Linked DNA regions of Rhinolophus ferrumequinum. The protein of the gene in region 2 interacts with the protein of the main gene of each other region in a biochemical or structural test. Links are inferred from orthologs where the notes say so. Each region holds a gene or a part of one and is shown on either strand. Other genes may lie near its edges.

Region 1 (7,804 bases), on a different chromosome or scaffold from region 2:
TTTTCTCCAAGTCTCACATAAGTCAAACAACACTTTTGTTCAGAGTCGGACAGAGATAGTGAAGGGCAGTAACTAGTTTTACCTTCTTTCTTTTCTTCTTTCATCCATCCTTTTGTCCAGAGCTGCATAAATAGCATCTGCTTCCTCGTCGTCTTTTTCGTAGGGCCCACTTGAGAAGAGGCTCCCAGCATAGCCGTTAAACTAAGAACCAAACAACATATTTGGAGGATCAGCTTCTCTTCCAACTTAATCCCCACCAGGAGAAACAGAGAACACTACCAGTTGCAAAATGCTTGCTAAACAATATTTTTCAATCAGATAAACCCAAACCGAGGAGTAACAAAATAACTGACCAGTACTCTTCAAAAGTGTCAGGAGGAACTATCCCGACTGGAGGAGCCCAAGGAAACACAACTACATGCACAATGGAAGCCGGTGGTAGGCCTGGGGCCTGACGGAGGCTACAGATGGAAAAACCAGTGGGGTTCAAACAATACACTAGACTAATTAAGAGTGCTGTGTTAATTTCCTGTTTCAGTAATTGTATTAAGGCCATGTAAGATGGGGAGAAACTTGTGAAGGGTATGCAGAAATTCTCCATGTTATTTTTGCAAATTCCCTGTAAATTTAAAATTATTTCAGAAGTAAAGTATTCAAATCTTTTCCTCTGAGAAAAATGCCATCTGTTAGAACATATCTGAAGAAAACTTCAATTGACCAAACACCAATTAACTAAGAGAGTAAGCACTAAAGCAAAGGAAAGCAAACATTATCACCAATTCCATTTAAATTTTCATTGGCCAGGATAAAATGCCAATGCAGTGGTTCTCAGTAAACGTCTTCTGAAGAGAAAACAAAAGTGTACGTTTCTTTGTACTCTTCCTACTCCCCTCTCACACTCTGCTAGGGAGACACCCTGAAGGTGTCTCAGGGAGACATTTCCTGAGCTGAAACAGGAAATGGGCCAGCCAGGCCAAGCCACTCATCACAGATGCCACCGTGTTAAGAAGCTGGCCGGCCTTCTGCAGGCTGGCCGGGGAGCCCAGCACAGGTCACCTCGTCATAGTTGGTGTCGTTCAGATCCTCGTCGTCGTCGTCTGCAGCCTGGCTTTTCTTCATCTGGTCCCCTACGGTCCTCTTGCCTGGAGGTGCATGGCGGTCATCCACGGGATCATTGGCATCCCGGGCGGGCCCAATGTCTGACCGGGTGGTGAAGCCAGTGGCGCTGCAAGAGACCCCAAGATACTCCTTGATCTGGGTGACCCTGTTCCTGTGTTCTTCCCTCCACTGCTGTCACTTAACACCTCTGGGAAATCTCCAAAGGTCCTGGTGGAGTGAGATACGCGTGGCCATGCTCTCAAACACTCCCAGTCTGCTCTCTTCAAACAGGAAACCTCCTGCCCCCCCCAAGGGATCACTAAGGCCATCTTGTCCCCATATTCTCCTTGAGACTTGTCAGGGCATCAGCCCTCCCCCAAAGTCCCAGTTTCCCATTTCCAACAGCTTCCCCATCCAAGCAGGCCCTCACACCCAACCTGACCCAGTCAGAGCTCCTCTTCTGTGCCTGCCCTGCAGCTGCTTGGGGCTGTCTCCACAGACGACGGCAGTGCTGCCCAGGGCACCTAGGCAGACACCTGGCTTGCCTCCCTCTCCCTCCCACCTGCCACGGAGCTGTACTGTCTTCCTCCAAATCCCTGGTCCCAGGCCTCGGAACCAAGCTGGCCTCCCTGTACCGAGTCTCCCTCTGCTGGAGCGCAGGCCTGAGGGACCACCTCTGCAATGCCCACAGGAGCTCTGCTCCCTGCACATCCCAGCCCCATGGACTCCCTGCTATCCCCTCATCTCCCTCCATGCCTCATCTTTTTTCCTAACTGCGCGACACACAAAACATCGGTTTCTCCTATAACCTGCTACATGTCTACATCCCTAAATGCATCTTGCCTTCTAAACTTAGCTTAAATGCTAGCACTGCATCGAGCATTCCCTGATCACTGGAACCCCAATCCTAAATCTGTTCCTCTTTATGTACTTACTTATGCATATACCTCACCTCGCCTAGCAGAGTGCAGGTCCCCTGAAGATGGTGCCACTATCTGACACTTCTGTGTCCTCCACAGATTCTAACATACGGTACCATCCTCGACAAGAGAAACCCAGTAGTCTTCCTAATCAGATGACTAACCAAACAGGATGAAAATGACTGCTCATTTACTCAACAATTTACGGTCGCAGTCTGTGTGACAGGCAGGGAGGACTCTGTCACAAGCCTCAAAGATGCCATCCCTGCTCCCGGGAGCTGAGAGTTTGAACAAACAGTATGTGACCAACGACTCTACAGGGAAAGAATGTGGCGCGATGAGCGGCCACAGAGGAATCGCGCCGGGGTTCCCGGGAACTGCGTAAGGCGGGGCTGGGGGTGGGTGCGCGTCTGCCGGGCCCGCGGAGAGGAGCCGCCGCGTTCCCACGGTAGACACGTCAGGAACTGAGCTGCTGCTCACGGCAGATCTGCGAAACGGTGTTGTCACCCATCTTAGACACCAAAAGGGGCTCAGAGCCAAGGCGTAGCTAAACGCAGTCACCCCGCTCCTAGGTAACTGGCGGGACTCGCTCGGGTCTGTCCTAACCCCAAGAACGATTCTTCCTACAAAGCTTAAAGCAAGCAACCCGCCTTTGTCCCTTCTCGTCTCCCCGTCGCCGTGGGGGGTTAGGACAGACCGGCCCTGTGCCCCTTCCCCAAGGGCGCGCCCGCCGGGACCCGGGCCCCGGGGCCCAGGGCCGCGCCGCGCGCCCCGGGGCTCACCCTCGGCCCAGCCCCGGCACGTAGCCGAGCGGCGCGGGCATGCCCAGGAACGGCTTCTTCTTCTTGTTCATGGCGCAGGTGACGACAAGGGCCGGGAAGGGAAAGGACGGAGACCGCGGCGGGAGGCAAAACACCACAGACGTCCGAGGTTTCACTGCAGGAAGAGGTCGCGCGCCCCGCGTCACCCGCGCCCCGGAAGCAGAGCGCCAGGTCGGCACGAAGCTCCGGCCGCCTCGGATTCCACGGGCGGAAGTTCCGGAAACGCGGCTGGGCGACTTCCGGCCGCGGCTGAGGGACGGAGATGCGGCAGGTGCGTGAGCGAGAGCGCCCCCTTGTGGCGAGGAGGGCCGGCGGACAGCCCCGCCGGAGGTCCAGGGGCGACGCCTTTCTGGACAAACCTCCAGGGACCTGGAAACTGAGCCTGGGCACCCTTGCTTACTGCGTGTTCTCGATGCATTCCAAGGAGACCTGCCTGTACCAGTAGGACCCGTGGGTCCCCTCCCTCTCTGAGCCAGCCCAGCTGCCAGGGAGCCCTAGGATTGAGCCCTAGCTACCCACCCTGCCCTTCAGAGTCGCCCTGGCCCCGGGGCAGGCCATAACACATCTGAGGGGTGCTGCACAGCTATCCAGTTGTGTAGAGCTTGTGCGGAGTGTATGTGTCACGACTGTGAGCACACCTGTTTGTGTGTGCTCCTGTGTACAGACTGCTTGCTGCCTTGGCTCTCAGGACTCGGATTCCTGAGCTCCAATTCCAGCACAGGTCCCCACTCACAGTCCCATAATACCCTGAAGGTTCAAGTGAGGGCAAGAGCCCACCTGTTGAGCTAATTAATGGAAATAAATAAATGCGGCGGGTATATGTCGGGAGAGTCAGTATATGGGCGTGGGCGATCACAGAATTTGGGTGAATTCCATGCCAATCTCTACTTGTGGGTGTCATGGGCATGCCTGACTGTACTCTGCATACATTTCTGGGTGGCCACGTGCACCTTAGCACACTCCGCTATGGGACATCCTCTGGCCCCCACACATACCTGGGAGAGCACTCAGGCTCCTGGCAGAGCAGGCAAAACTCAGGTCCCAAGTCTGGCCTTGTGCTGGCCCAGACAGCCCCAGCCCACCCTAGCTCTTCTCACTGGCGTCCTGCAGCAAACACATCCCTCCTGCCTGCTGCAGCCTCCTTGGGGTTGCTCCTCCCTGTCCCCAGCCAAGCCCCTTTCAGAGCCACATCTTGGGCACTGAATCCGATTCTGGGGCTACAGAAGGAAAGGGAGAGACGCTGGCTGTCCTCCTAGAGTTCAGTGTGATGAGATAAGAGAGAGTCAAACTGACTTCTCTGGGGAAGCAAGTGCCCATTTGAGGGAGAGACCTCTGGAGAGGTCTGGAGAATGTGAATTAAAGGAGAAAACTAAGGTAGAAAAATGGAGGGAAGTGGTTTGAAGGGATGGGTCTAATCCTTGACCTGGGCCCCAGGGGGCAGAAGGTCCCAGGATGGGTAGGAGGCCCTCCACCACACACACACACACACACACACACACACACGCGGAATGTGTCCTTACTTCCCTGCTTCAGAGGGCCCTGCAGACGCCTGGACCCCTAAAGGTGCCCAGTCACTCGTCCTTGGAGCCATGCCCAGGTGCGCAGGGACGCCCCTTGCCCTGGCAGACACTCTGCATACGCAGACCCGCGCGCCGCCGACACACCTCGGAGCTCCCGGAGCGCGCCCAGCTCTCAGGGCTCAGCGGCAGGTGCCTCGCCGCGCAGACTCGCCGGGCGCGGGGACCGGCTCCGGCGCGGGGCCGGCTGGGGCGGGGCGGTGGCGCGCGTTCCCCGCCGGCCACTCGGGCCGCCCTGCGCCCGGCGAGGGGCGTGTGCACGGGCCCGGGCCCCGCGGGCCCCATGTTCACGGAGCTGAGGACCAAGCTGAGCCCCCCGCGAGGCCGCGCCGGGGCTGTGCGCGCCGGCTTCGGGGAGCGCCGGGATGTGGACGGTGAGCCGGGCTGAATCCGGGCGCAGGGATATCGTGGGCTGGGGGCTTGGGAACCGAGAGGGACGGGGGCGGGACCTGGCGGACTTGAGCGGCGGCAGTGGACAGAGAGGGGGGCGCGTCCTGACGGATCTGGGGTCTCTTGTGTCTTTGTGCTGCGCTGGGGGCGAGGTGGGGCGGCCTTAGGCCTTGGGGATCAGCGCACCCTTGGCTTGGGGGAGGTCACCGGCCGGGGCTTCTGTCCCCAGGCCCGCACTACCGTGCGGTCACCTTTTTTTTCCGCGCGCGGAGAAAACCCTCCCAGCCTTTGCGTTGGAGCGAAGAAGGGGCTGGGGCCACAGCCGGGATCGTGCGCCCCCACCCCATTTTCTACGGGAATTATGACGTTGGGGCTGGGAGGGAGGGAGGGAAGGACGGATGTACCCACAGAGATCCCTCCCCCCAGCGCGGGCAGGAAATGGGCGGGTCCCGTTGACCCGGGACAGGTGAGACGCCCACGGAGGTGTCCGACTGGTTTACCCAGGCCGGGCCCTGGCGAGGCGAGGCAAGGCGATGCGACCCAGGGCCTGTCCCCTGAAAGGTCTCGGCTTTAATTCTTTTCCCACGGTACTAGAAGCCACCTCGAGGCATCGTCCACACTCTCAGTCTGACCCTAGACCTCAAATTTACAGGCACCTGTGGTTATTTGGTAGTGGAAAGTTGCAGGAATGGGGTGGAAGGAGGGGAGCAAGATGTGGGTTTCCCCCATTACTGAGACCTAGGCACAGGGCCAAATCCTGCCCGAGGGGTGGGGGGCTGTGTCCGTGGGAAGGAAGGTCTCCCTGCTGAGTGAGGACCTGGATGCTGTAAAGATGCACATCACACAGAACCTTCGTCCATCCGTTCATTCATCACAACACTTCTGGGCACCTCCTTTGCACCAGGACCTGTGCAAGGTCTTGGGAGGGGCAGTGAACAGGCGACTGCTCCTCCCCCACTCAGGTCAGCAGCCAGCCCAGAAATGATGATAAAACCAAAGTGTTGACGAGTGTAATGAAGTTGGTACGGGAAGAGAGCTCCAGGTGTCACTAGGGGTCCCTGAGCACATGGCTGCAGCCTATGGGCCTGTGCTGAGCGGCCCATGGCGGCTGCAGACCCACCATGCACAGCAGTCACCCTGGGTTGGCGACCCTGTGGGAGGTGGGGGAGCAGGAATCCCAGGTCCTGGCTTGCCCAGAGTTTAGGCTTCTTGTCCATGAGTCACAACCAGTGAGCACAGCTGGGCAGGGCCAAACCTCACGTGGCAGGGATGTCTGCAGAGATGGCACAATCCGTGGCGATGGGCCCGCAGTGCACCCAGGGGGTCTCCTCACCATACCTCCCAGGACACCGGTCCTCACGGGCCTCCCAGGACACCGGTCCAATGTTTCCTCGTAGGAAGGGCCTGTGTGTGCACCCTCGTTAGGTGTGGCATGTGCCAGCCCAAGGCAAGCATGAGGTGAGGGCTGTCCCAGAAGAGCCCTACCCCTGGCTGTAAGTCTTAGGCTTCCCGGTGGGCGTCCGCTCTCTCTAAGAATCCATTTGGCTCCCCAGAACATGTACTGTGGACTTGGAGGGTACAGGTGTTCCAGTTCTTCAGCTTTGGGCTGGGTGGGGCCCTCAAGACAGCTCTCGATGCTTCCTTCTGCCTTTGGGAAAGTGGCTCCTTCTTCAGTGGAGGGGAGATGGGCTGAGTGACGAGGGGAGCCTCTGGCTGGGCCCCTGACCACTCTGACCAGGCACCCCTCCTCTGCAGCCACTGCCCACTTCAGCTTCTGCCGGACCCTCCTGGAGCACACGGTGTCCACCGAGAGCATCCCCTGCCACCTGCCTAGGACACCAGGCACCAGCCTCACATGGCATGACTCACGCAGTCAGAGGGCAGCAGGTGGCCGGCCAGTCAAGCTCCTGCAGCAGCCTGGCACAGAGACCCCCCAGGTACCCAGCCACCGTACCCATCTCAGCCCCGGCCATCCCCACCACCTCATTCTATCTGCTACCCCTCTCCCTCACAGGGCTGGCTGTACTCTGACCACTGTGGCCTGTACCACACGAGTCCCTCACTGGGTGGCCTGACGAGGCCTGTGGTCCTGTGGAGTCAGCAGGACGTCTGCAAGTGGCTCAAGAAGCACTGTCCCCACAACTACCTCGTCTACGTGGAGGCCTTCTCCCAGCACGCCATCACCGGTGCTGTGGGGCTGGGGGCTATGGGGCTGGGGGCACGGGGATCCCAGGCGAGCCTGTCCTTTCTCCTCTTCCTACCCTCTCCTGTTTCCTCCTGAGTCAGCCTCTCCTCCGGTCTTTGTCTCTGCGGAACCTGCCACTGTGTTTCCCAGCCTCTCTGTGTCTTCATCTGGCTTTCCTCTGCCTCTCCCTGCCTTTCTCTCCGCATCTGTGTGTCTGTCTCCCTGCCCATTTCCTCTCTTTCTTCCTCCCCTTCCCCCCATCCCCCTCCCGCCCCCCCACCCCGTCTTTCTGCATCTATGTGTCTCCGTGTCCCTCCCCACATTTCCTCAGTCTCCCTCTCTGTTTCTGAGTCCCGGCCCCCTCCTCCCCCCCCCCCCCCCCGCCTTGGCTCCGATTGCCCACCGGAAGTTGACTTCGGCCCCGCCCCTCTCCCTGCCCCCAGGCCGGGCGCTGTTGCGGCTGAACGCAGAGAAGCTGCAGCGCATGGGGCTGGCGCAGGAGGCGCAGCGGCAGGAGGTACTGCAGCAGGTGCTGCGCCTGCAGGTGCGCGAAGAGGGGCGGAGCCTGCAGCTGCTCAGCCAAGGTCAGTGGGAGGAGCCAGGAGTGCCGTAGAGGCCGGGGAGGGGGGCGGGGCTGGAGGCCTGAGTGTAGGGTGGGTGGCGGGACTCTGGTGTGGGACCCCAGTAAGGGCCATCCTGAGCCCATGGCAGAGGGGACGATGCCAGAGACCCCCACTCCTCACCCCATCCACCCATAGCTTCCTTCGGAAACATGTCCTAGCTGCTGCCTGAGGCCTGAACCCCAGACCCCAG
Region 2 (7,271 bases):
AAAGCCAGACAGAAAAGACCTAGTACCAAAAAACGTCTGGGAAGCGAGCCTACTGGCCTCTGACTCACTGTGTGCCCCTCCAATGACATGCTGCCCTACTCTGTGCCTAGTCGATGGGTGGCAGGATCAGGTGACCTTGTGCTAACACTGAGCCTGCATGTCACTTAAGGAGCCTGAGACAGTGGGAGCCAGTGAGTACTAGGCTTCCTGCTCACGCCCAACTGCTGTCCCAGCCCTTCGAGGCCTAAAACGCCCCTTCTGGAGTTCCGTTCTGTAGTGGCTGCCAGGACATGCTAACTGAGATCCTAAAAGCCAAAGACCTCAGAACAGCAACAGGAACCCCCAGAGGGTACCGGAGAATAGTATGTGCGTGAAGGGATTTTTAGGTGGTAAGCAGAGGCCAGGTGGGGAGGCCACAGGACACCTGACATCCTGGCTCTGCCTCTAGGATTGGTCAACGGTGAGATGGTTCAAGGGACCAGAAACTCCCACAGAAGAACTTCATGAGGAAACAGTCAAGGGCTGAAACAAGTCCAAAGGGGCTGTAGGGGATCCCTGGCTTCCGGCCATCAGCACAGCCGAGGCCTTAATACACAACTACAGGCTTTTATTGGGAAAGAAAACTGACTGAAAAGAGGCCCCCGATATCCTCATTGCCTGAGGCAGCTGGGGCCTCCTCCAGAGTCCATGAAAGAAGGGGCCCCCAAACTGGGCCCTCGGCAGGCTCAGGTATACAGATCAAAGTCAATACGCTTGGAGTTGTAGAACTGTCCACCAGGGGGGTCCAGCTTCCGGCAATACACACCATCCGGGAAGTAACCTTCGTTCACCCAGGTCTGCGGGGAGAGAGGGCAGAGCTGGTGGAGGACTGATGGGTGCGAGGGCAGAAAGGAGGCGAAAAGGGGTTTACCTGCATCTGGGTGCTGGTGAAGGGCCCGTACAGCTCAGCATCCCCCGTGTTCTCCCACTTATACTCCCACATCACGTCCTCCAGCCCGTCTCCGAGCGACTCTGCTTCTACAATCACAGGCAAAGCCGTGTGGGCCTCCAGCGCCATGCCCCTGCCCACAAGACCCCGCCTCTGCCCTTCAAGCTCACCTCTCTGGGCAGGGGACAGGGTCACCAGCTCCTCCTCTGCCACTTCTTCAGCAAACATGTCCAGAGAAGGTGGGGAGATGGAGTCAGGGGGTCCTTGGGTCTGGCACCCCAACCCCTTCAGACGCATGGCCAGCCGTTCCCTTGTCTCCTGATAGACACCAAGGTTGCCCCGAGCCACCATCTGGTCAGCCAACCCCGAGAGCCTGTCCAAGCGCTGGGGGGAAGAGGGCCGTCCGGGCCCCTTACTGCCCCCTTTGGCTCCTCCTCTGGCCCCCAGACGCCTCAGGGCCCCAGCCACTGTCTCTCTGGGCAGCAGCAGCTCCAGGAGGCCCTCCAGGAGTGCCTGGGCGCTCATGGGTGTCTGGCCCAAGTTATCCTCCTCGTCGGAGTCCGATGGTGGATGCTGGTCAGGTGGCCGCTCCTTGATCTTCACCTGTACCGTGAGAGAGAACACGGAGATTATTTCTGACAAACTGCCCGCAGAGCCCAAGCACCTGCCGCCTCCGGCCCGGCCCCGCCAGCCCCCGAGCCATACCCAGTCAATGTTGTCCAGCCAGCTGTCTCGGATCTGAGCTTCTCGGTTCAAGAAGTAGTTGCCGTCCGCATCAAAATGGCCTTCTTCCATCTCTTCCTGGAGATTGAAAGGTGTGATCCGCACACCTCCCTCACTGGGGAGTGTGGCCGCTTCCTGACCTGCACCCAACACAGGCATTTCACACTAAGCATGCGACGGTGACAGAAGGAGCCCTGGCCCACGTCCCAGAAGCCGGTTCGTTCCCGCAGCAGAATCAATGCTTCCGTAGACCTCACCTTCCACGTCCTCCGAGGCCAGGATGTCATATTTGCTGGACCCCTCCTCCTCGTCGTCCTCCTCATCGCTGTCCAAAGAGTGTTTGCCTTTGAAGCGGCTCCCAGGCCCTCCTGCCCCGGCCACAGGGTCCACGAGCTGTGAGCAGGAGCCAGCCGGTCGAGAGAGGCAGGTTACCTACCGGCTTAGTCCTCAAAATGCTCTAGGATCTGGACTCAAACTGACAATCTCCCAAACCCATTTCTCAGAGAAGACGGCGAAGCTAGTCCTTTCCTTTCTGCCCTTTTTGTATCCCACGCTTTTTCCCTCTTCGGGCTCCTCGTTTCTTTTCTCTCCCCCTCACTCCTCCCTACGACGCAGGAGTCTGGCCCCCTCACCTTCTTCTTGGGTACACTGATGTCATCCTCCTCATCCTCATTTCCCACGCCTTGAAAGGTCACCTTCCTCTTTGGCATGGCTGGACCGAGGGACCTGCCTCGAGCTGAGCTGAGAGAAAGGACGCAGAGTAAGGGAACCGGGCGAGGAGGAGGTTCGCCGCGAGAGGGCCCCAGCGCAGCAAACGTTTGTTTCCCCTGGTACAGAAATAGGGGCCGAAAGGGGCGTTGACAGGCAAGAGGCCCCGGAACCTGGTCTGGCATCCGACAGACTGGCTGCAGCCGAGCCGGAGAGGCGGGAGCCCCGAGCAGTTCCCCCACGTGACCACCCCCATCCCCAGCCCTGGCATCCCGGGCGCGACGCCGCTCCCCGGCTTAACACCCGCTGCTCCCCCACCGCCAGTTCCCTCGGAGCTCGTGAGGCTCGGGCGGACCCGGGATCTGGCGTCCTGGCCGCCCCGCTTCTCCCCGCGACGAACTCCCAATTCCGCGGGGTGACCCCCGACTGTGCCGGGCTCTGTGTACAAATGAGAGGCGCCAGAGCCCCAGGGACCCCAGCAGTGCCACCGGCGCGCGCTCACCTAGGGACCCCGGGAAGGTGGGGGAAGGCAAGGAGCGAAGCTTCCGCTAGGGCTGCATCCGGGGCACCGGGCCGCCATCACCCGGAAGAGAACTGCGGAAGGCGCCAGGAGGGCCGGAAGTGGCTTCAGTCTGGCGAGAGCGGGTGGGCGGAAGTCCGAGGAGCCGGGGAAGGCACACTCCCCCCGAGGAGTGACTCGAGCTGCGTGGGACGGAACGACGAGCAGAGGGCACTGGAGAATGCCTACACCCTGATGGGACGCGAGGGGTGGCCGGAAGTGGAGGGATGGCTCAGGATGGGACGCGAGGGTGGCCGGAAGTGGAGCGGTGGCTCACAGCCCTAGAAGCGCTGGGGAGAAAGTGGAGCGAATTCTATCTAATCGGGCGCCCGGGGTGTGGCGGACGGCAAGATCCGAGCAGGGCCAGTGGGTTCCCGCTCTGATTTCCCTTCCCAGGGTTGCGCCATCTTCCCCAGGGCTGGCCAAGGCTCTGCGCCCCTCACCATCTCAGTGGAAACCTGGCCTGCCCCCTCAGCGTCCAGCTGTCTGCGTTCTCCTGGTTCAAGGTGCAGCTTTGCGCTTCTCCCTGAGGGGAAGCCCGGCTCTCCTGATGGCCCGCCTGGAGGCCCCCGACCGCCCGTGGGGCGCTTTCCGAACCCAACTCCCTTCAGGACCCAAGGGGGGCCATTTACCATCACTCCCCGCCCCCCTCCCACCATCCCCTCGTTTCTGAGGTGGGAAGAGCCCTAACCGGAGAGGTGGCAGTGGCACCTATGCCCAGTACATGGGTCAGAAGCCCCGCGTGCCCGGATGTCAAGTAGGCCTGGAAAAGTGCAGCAGCGCCTCTCAAAGCCCCTGCCTTAGGCCCCTGCCGACAGGCAGAACTGTGGTGGGGATGTGGGAGCAGTGGGTCCCAGTGCTGTGGGGACACGCCCTCTAGCTCTTGAGGACACTGGGAGTCTGAATCCCACTAGGCTAAGGCTGTGCCCAGGAAGAGCCTACTGGAACCATCGGTCCCCAGGAAACGACGAACCAGCCCTCCGGTCTCCTGCCCCCGGTGTTTCCTCCCAGATTGGACTCCCATGAAACCGCAGTTTCTTCCATGGGTGGGTCCAGAACACACACTCCAGACTGAGAGGGCATCTCCCTAAAGGGTCTGAAATACCAGCTCCCAGTGCCACTGGTACATCCTCTGGGGACACTTGTACCAGGAGCACGAAGTACACCCCTGGGCCTCATTCCGTTGAACTGCCCGGTGGAGCTACAGACCCCTAGGCCTTTACCAACCTGACCCCTGGGGTAGACGGTGCAGAAGGGGGGCAGGCCTACAAGCTGGCAGCAGACAACGAGGAGCTGGGAGCCTGGCCGTGGACACTGGCTGGAGGCAGCTGGCTGCTCCCTGGAGGCCAAGTACTGGGAGCTGTGCCAGGCAGTGGGCCAAGACTGCCCAGCTCACCCCGAGGGCTGTGGCTTTCTAGCCCCCTTCTGTCCCCCCCCTCAGCTCCCAGGAGTTGCATGAGCAGTTTGGGAAGGACATCTGGGTGCTGCAGGTGATACGTAGAGGGCTTCAGGCCACTGACAATGGAGGCAGCAGATCCCAGAAAAGCTGGAGCAGGAGCTCAACAACTGTTGATGGGTGAAGTGGACCAAAGGCCGAGGGGTACCAACGGCCACGACCAGCTGACTGCTTCAATCGATTCTGGCTCAAAAGCCGCTTCCTGTATCCCTAGTTCTTACTCTAACGCCTTCGTCAAATAACAAGGCAGGAGACAGGCCCAGGTACAACAGCAGGATCTTTTCTGGTTTCTCAAAGCGCTGCGTCGGGTGGGGGCAGAGACAGAAGAGAATGTAAACATTGGGTTCCACCCCCGGGAGCTTAAGGGAAGACCCCTTTCCCAGAGAGGGGCTGGAAGGTTGGAAGGGAACAAGGTGAAAGGTGTGGGCCCTGGTGAGACAAAGCAGGGGAAGCCTGAGAATACAGAGGAAGGAGGAGGAACAGGAAGAAGAGCCAGGACTGCGGGACATTTCCTATTCCAGTGCATGTCCCATTAAATAAATCGGGAGTACAAGAACATTGCGGAAGAACCGAAGGACGGAAGACAGAGCGGACACCCCACCCTGGGCTGACCGGGTCCTCTGTTCGTCATTACAACCCCGAGATGTCCACGTTGAACAAGGAGGGCCTTGGGCCCCGGCCAGGAAGTGGAGACAAGCAGGACTGAAGAAGGGGAAAGAGGAACTCGGCTCCGCTTCATGAATGAGGGGAGCAAGTGGAGTGTAAGAATCTGAAAACTGCTGGCTCCCATCGCCAGGAGTCACCCCTGTGGTGACAGAAGGCCAATCAGGACAGTACCTGGGAAGGGACCCCACAGGGAACCGGGGCAGGAGTGACAAAGACCCCGGCTGGGCCTAACTGGAGGTGCGGGGCCCCAGATGTGTCACGGCTGCCCCAGGGAACGGAGCTGTCCCATGCCCCATGTTCTGACTGTCCTGGCTGTAGGATCAGCAGCTGGCAAGGGGACGGGGAACAAGCCACCTTCCCCAGAAAAGGACAGTCTGCCCAGGGGCCTGCTCTTGGCTGAGGGAAAAAGGGGGGCCATGCAGTCCAGCCCCGGGGCAGAGGTCAGAAGTAAGTGTCCTGGCGGGCCTCAGATGAGGAGGCCCGGTCGCCACCATCCTGTGGGTCTGGGGGCCCGTCGGCCTTTCGACGCAGGGAAAGCTTCCTGCCTTGGCCCTTCTTCTGCTTCTCCTTCTCCTGCTTCTGCCGCTCCTTCTCCTGCTCTTTTTCCCACTTCTGCCGCTCCTTTTCCTGCTTTTCCCGCTCCTTCTCTTGTTTCTGCCGCTCCTTCTCACGCTCCTTCTCCTGTTTCTGCCGCTCCTTCTCCTGCCTCCGGGTCTCCTTGCTGGGACCCAGTGGCGTGCTGTTGCCAGTCGGAGAAGGAAGAGATGGATGCAGTCCCTCAGCGGTGATCACAGGCCCCGGGGCAGGCCCAACACTGGCCCTGCGGGCGGGAGGGGGCGGAGAGGGCACCCCCCCAGCTGCCCGGGAGCCTCGGCTCTTGAGGCCAGGGAGGCTGAGGAGGCTGGAGGAGGGGCCCAGGGGGGGCTGCTGTCGCCGGCGCTCCTCATGGATGGCCCGGGAACCGTGCAGTCGCCGGGAGGGCCGGTACTGCAGCTGCCCCCGGGTTTCCAGCCACTTCTTGAGCTGGGCGGTGTTCTCTCTCTCAATCAGTGCTTCTGTCACTGGCAGGTTCGTCACCTGGATGGAGAAGTGGGTGCCAGATGCAATGACGGTGCGGCTGGCCTGCAGCAGGCGAGGCTGAGTCACGGCCAGGGCTTACCTCATGCACCAGGAAGTCCTCCTGCATGCACTGCGGGGGCAGGCTGCGCAGCTGCTCCATGGTCTCGTACATGCCCTGGCAGGCGCGCAGCTTCTCCAGGGAGCCCAGCGTGTGCCGCAGCAGCACCAGGGCCACCCGGAAGATGATCTTGACGCCTGTGGCCGAGGAGACAGTGGGGAGATGGGGCCTGGGTCCCAGCCTTCGGTTAGGAGGCACTCCGCCCCACCCCGCCAACCTTAGGGGTGAGGGAACTAAGGCCCAGCAGGGAAATGAGCCGCCAGGGGCTTCAGGTTCCTGGCAGGGAGAACAGGCTCCGGGTTGGCCGCAGAGCCGAGACCAGGCCCACCAAGCACCTTGGGTCAGTGGGAGCCCGGCCCCCCTGGCCTGACAGGCTCGCACCTTCGCAGAAGAACATGTCCCAGACGCGCAGCACAGAGGCCCAGGGCAGCGTGCGGGCGAAGATGCACATGAACCACTCGGTCATGTAGAGCACGGGGTCGATACGCTGTCGCCGCAGGTGCCGGTGAGCCAGCGGGGACGCCCGGCGTAGCAGCGCGAAGAAAATTTCACCATCCAGCTGGATGGCCTCCTGGAGGTGGACGAGCCGTGAGGAGAGGCCCGCCGTGGCCCCCGTGGGGTCCGACCGATCGAGCAGGGGATCCTCACCTCAGTGGGAGAGCCCTGTGCAGAGGGACAGGGGCGGGGGGGGGACAAGGGCCTCCCTGTGCTTGGGGACAGTCACAGCCCCAGCGCCAAGCCGCCCCACACTCACCAGCCCTGCACTGTAGTAACCAGGGAGGTACTTGTCGCAGATCTGCACCAGGCACCAAAAGGCTTGCTGAGAAGGGCGAGAGTGGGAGGGATGATGGGGCCTGAGAATCGGGCAGAGGATGCCCCCCGCCAGCACCAGGCGTCCCCCCGGTCCCCCCCGCAACCCCCAGCCCGGGCCCCGGGGTGCTGACCTCAGCAGGCATGTGCATGAGCAGTACGGCGGCCACCGGGGCCTGGGCCTGGCAGTAGCCCTCGTCGGGCCGGTAGATGGTGTAAGCCTTCAGGATTCGGTACAGGTCCT

The links. The genes of interacting proteins can lie anywhere in the genome.
Region 1: the proteins of CD2BP2 (region 2) and PRPF6 form a complex in vitro, tested with the Homo sapiens proteins (2 studies listed by BioGRID and IntAct). The link is inferred for Rhinolophus ferrumequinum from reciprocal best matches to the Homo sapiens genes CD2BP2 and PRPF6.

Annotation. Positions count from the first base shown.
Region 1 is NC_046306.1:202,958-210,761, forward strand, and holds the start of PRPF6 (pre-mRNA-processing factor 6), read right to left. Parts: upstream 3,063-7,804; 5' UTR 2,872-3,062; coding exon 2,801-2,871; intron 1,226-2,800; coding exon 1,057-1,225; intron 202-1,056; coding exon 83-201; intron 1-82. Other genes in the region: SAMD10 (sterile alpha motif domain-containing protein 10), read left to right, coding at 4,292-4,790, 6,562-6,743, 6,821-6,992, 7,435-7,575, 7,750-7,772. UniProt on the Homo sapiens protein: Involved in pre-mRNA splicing as component of the U4/U6-U5 tri-snRNP complex, one of the building blocks of the spliceosome.
Region 2 is NW_022680357.1:763,990-771,260, reverse strand, and holds the start of CD2BP2 (CD2 antigen cytoplasmic tail-binding protein 2), read right to left. Parts: upstream 3,020-7,271; 5' UTR 2,862-3,019; intron 2,702-2,861; exon of another isoform or gene 2,678-2,701; intron 2,393-2,677; 5' UTR 2,362-2,392; coding exon 2,284-2,361; intron 2,045-2,283; coding exon 1,909-2,044; intron 1,792-1,908; coding exon 1,634-1,791; intron 1,532-1,633; coding exon 1,099-1,531; intron 1,018-1,098; coding exon 911-1,017; intron 837-910; coding exon 726-836; 3' UTR 1-725. Other genes in the region: TBC1D10B (TBC1 domain family member 10B), read right to left, coding at 5,482-6,117, 6,200-6,354, 6,599-6,788, 6,972-7,037, 7,162-7,271. UniProt on the Homo sapiens protein: Involved in pre-mRNA splicing as component of the U5 snRNP complex that is involved in spliceosome assembly.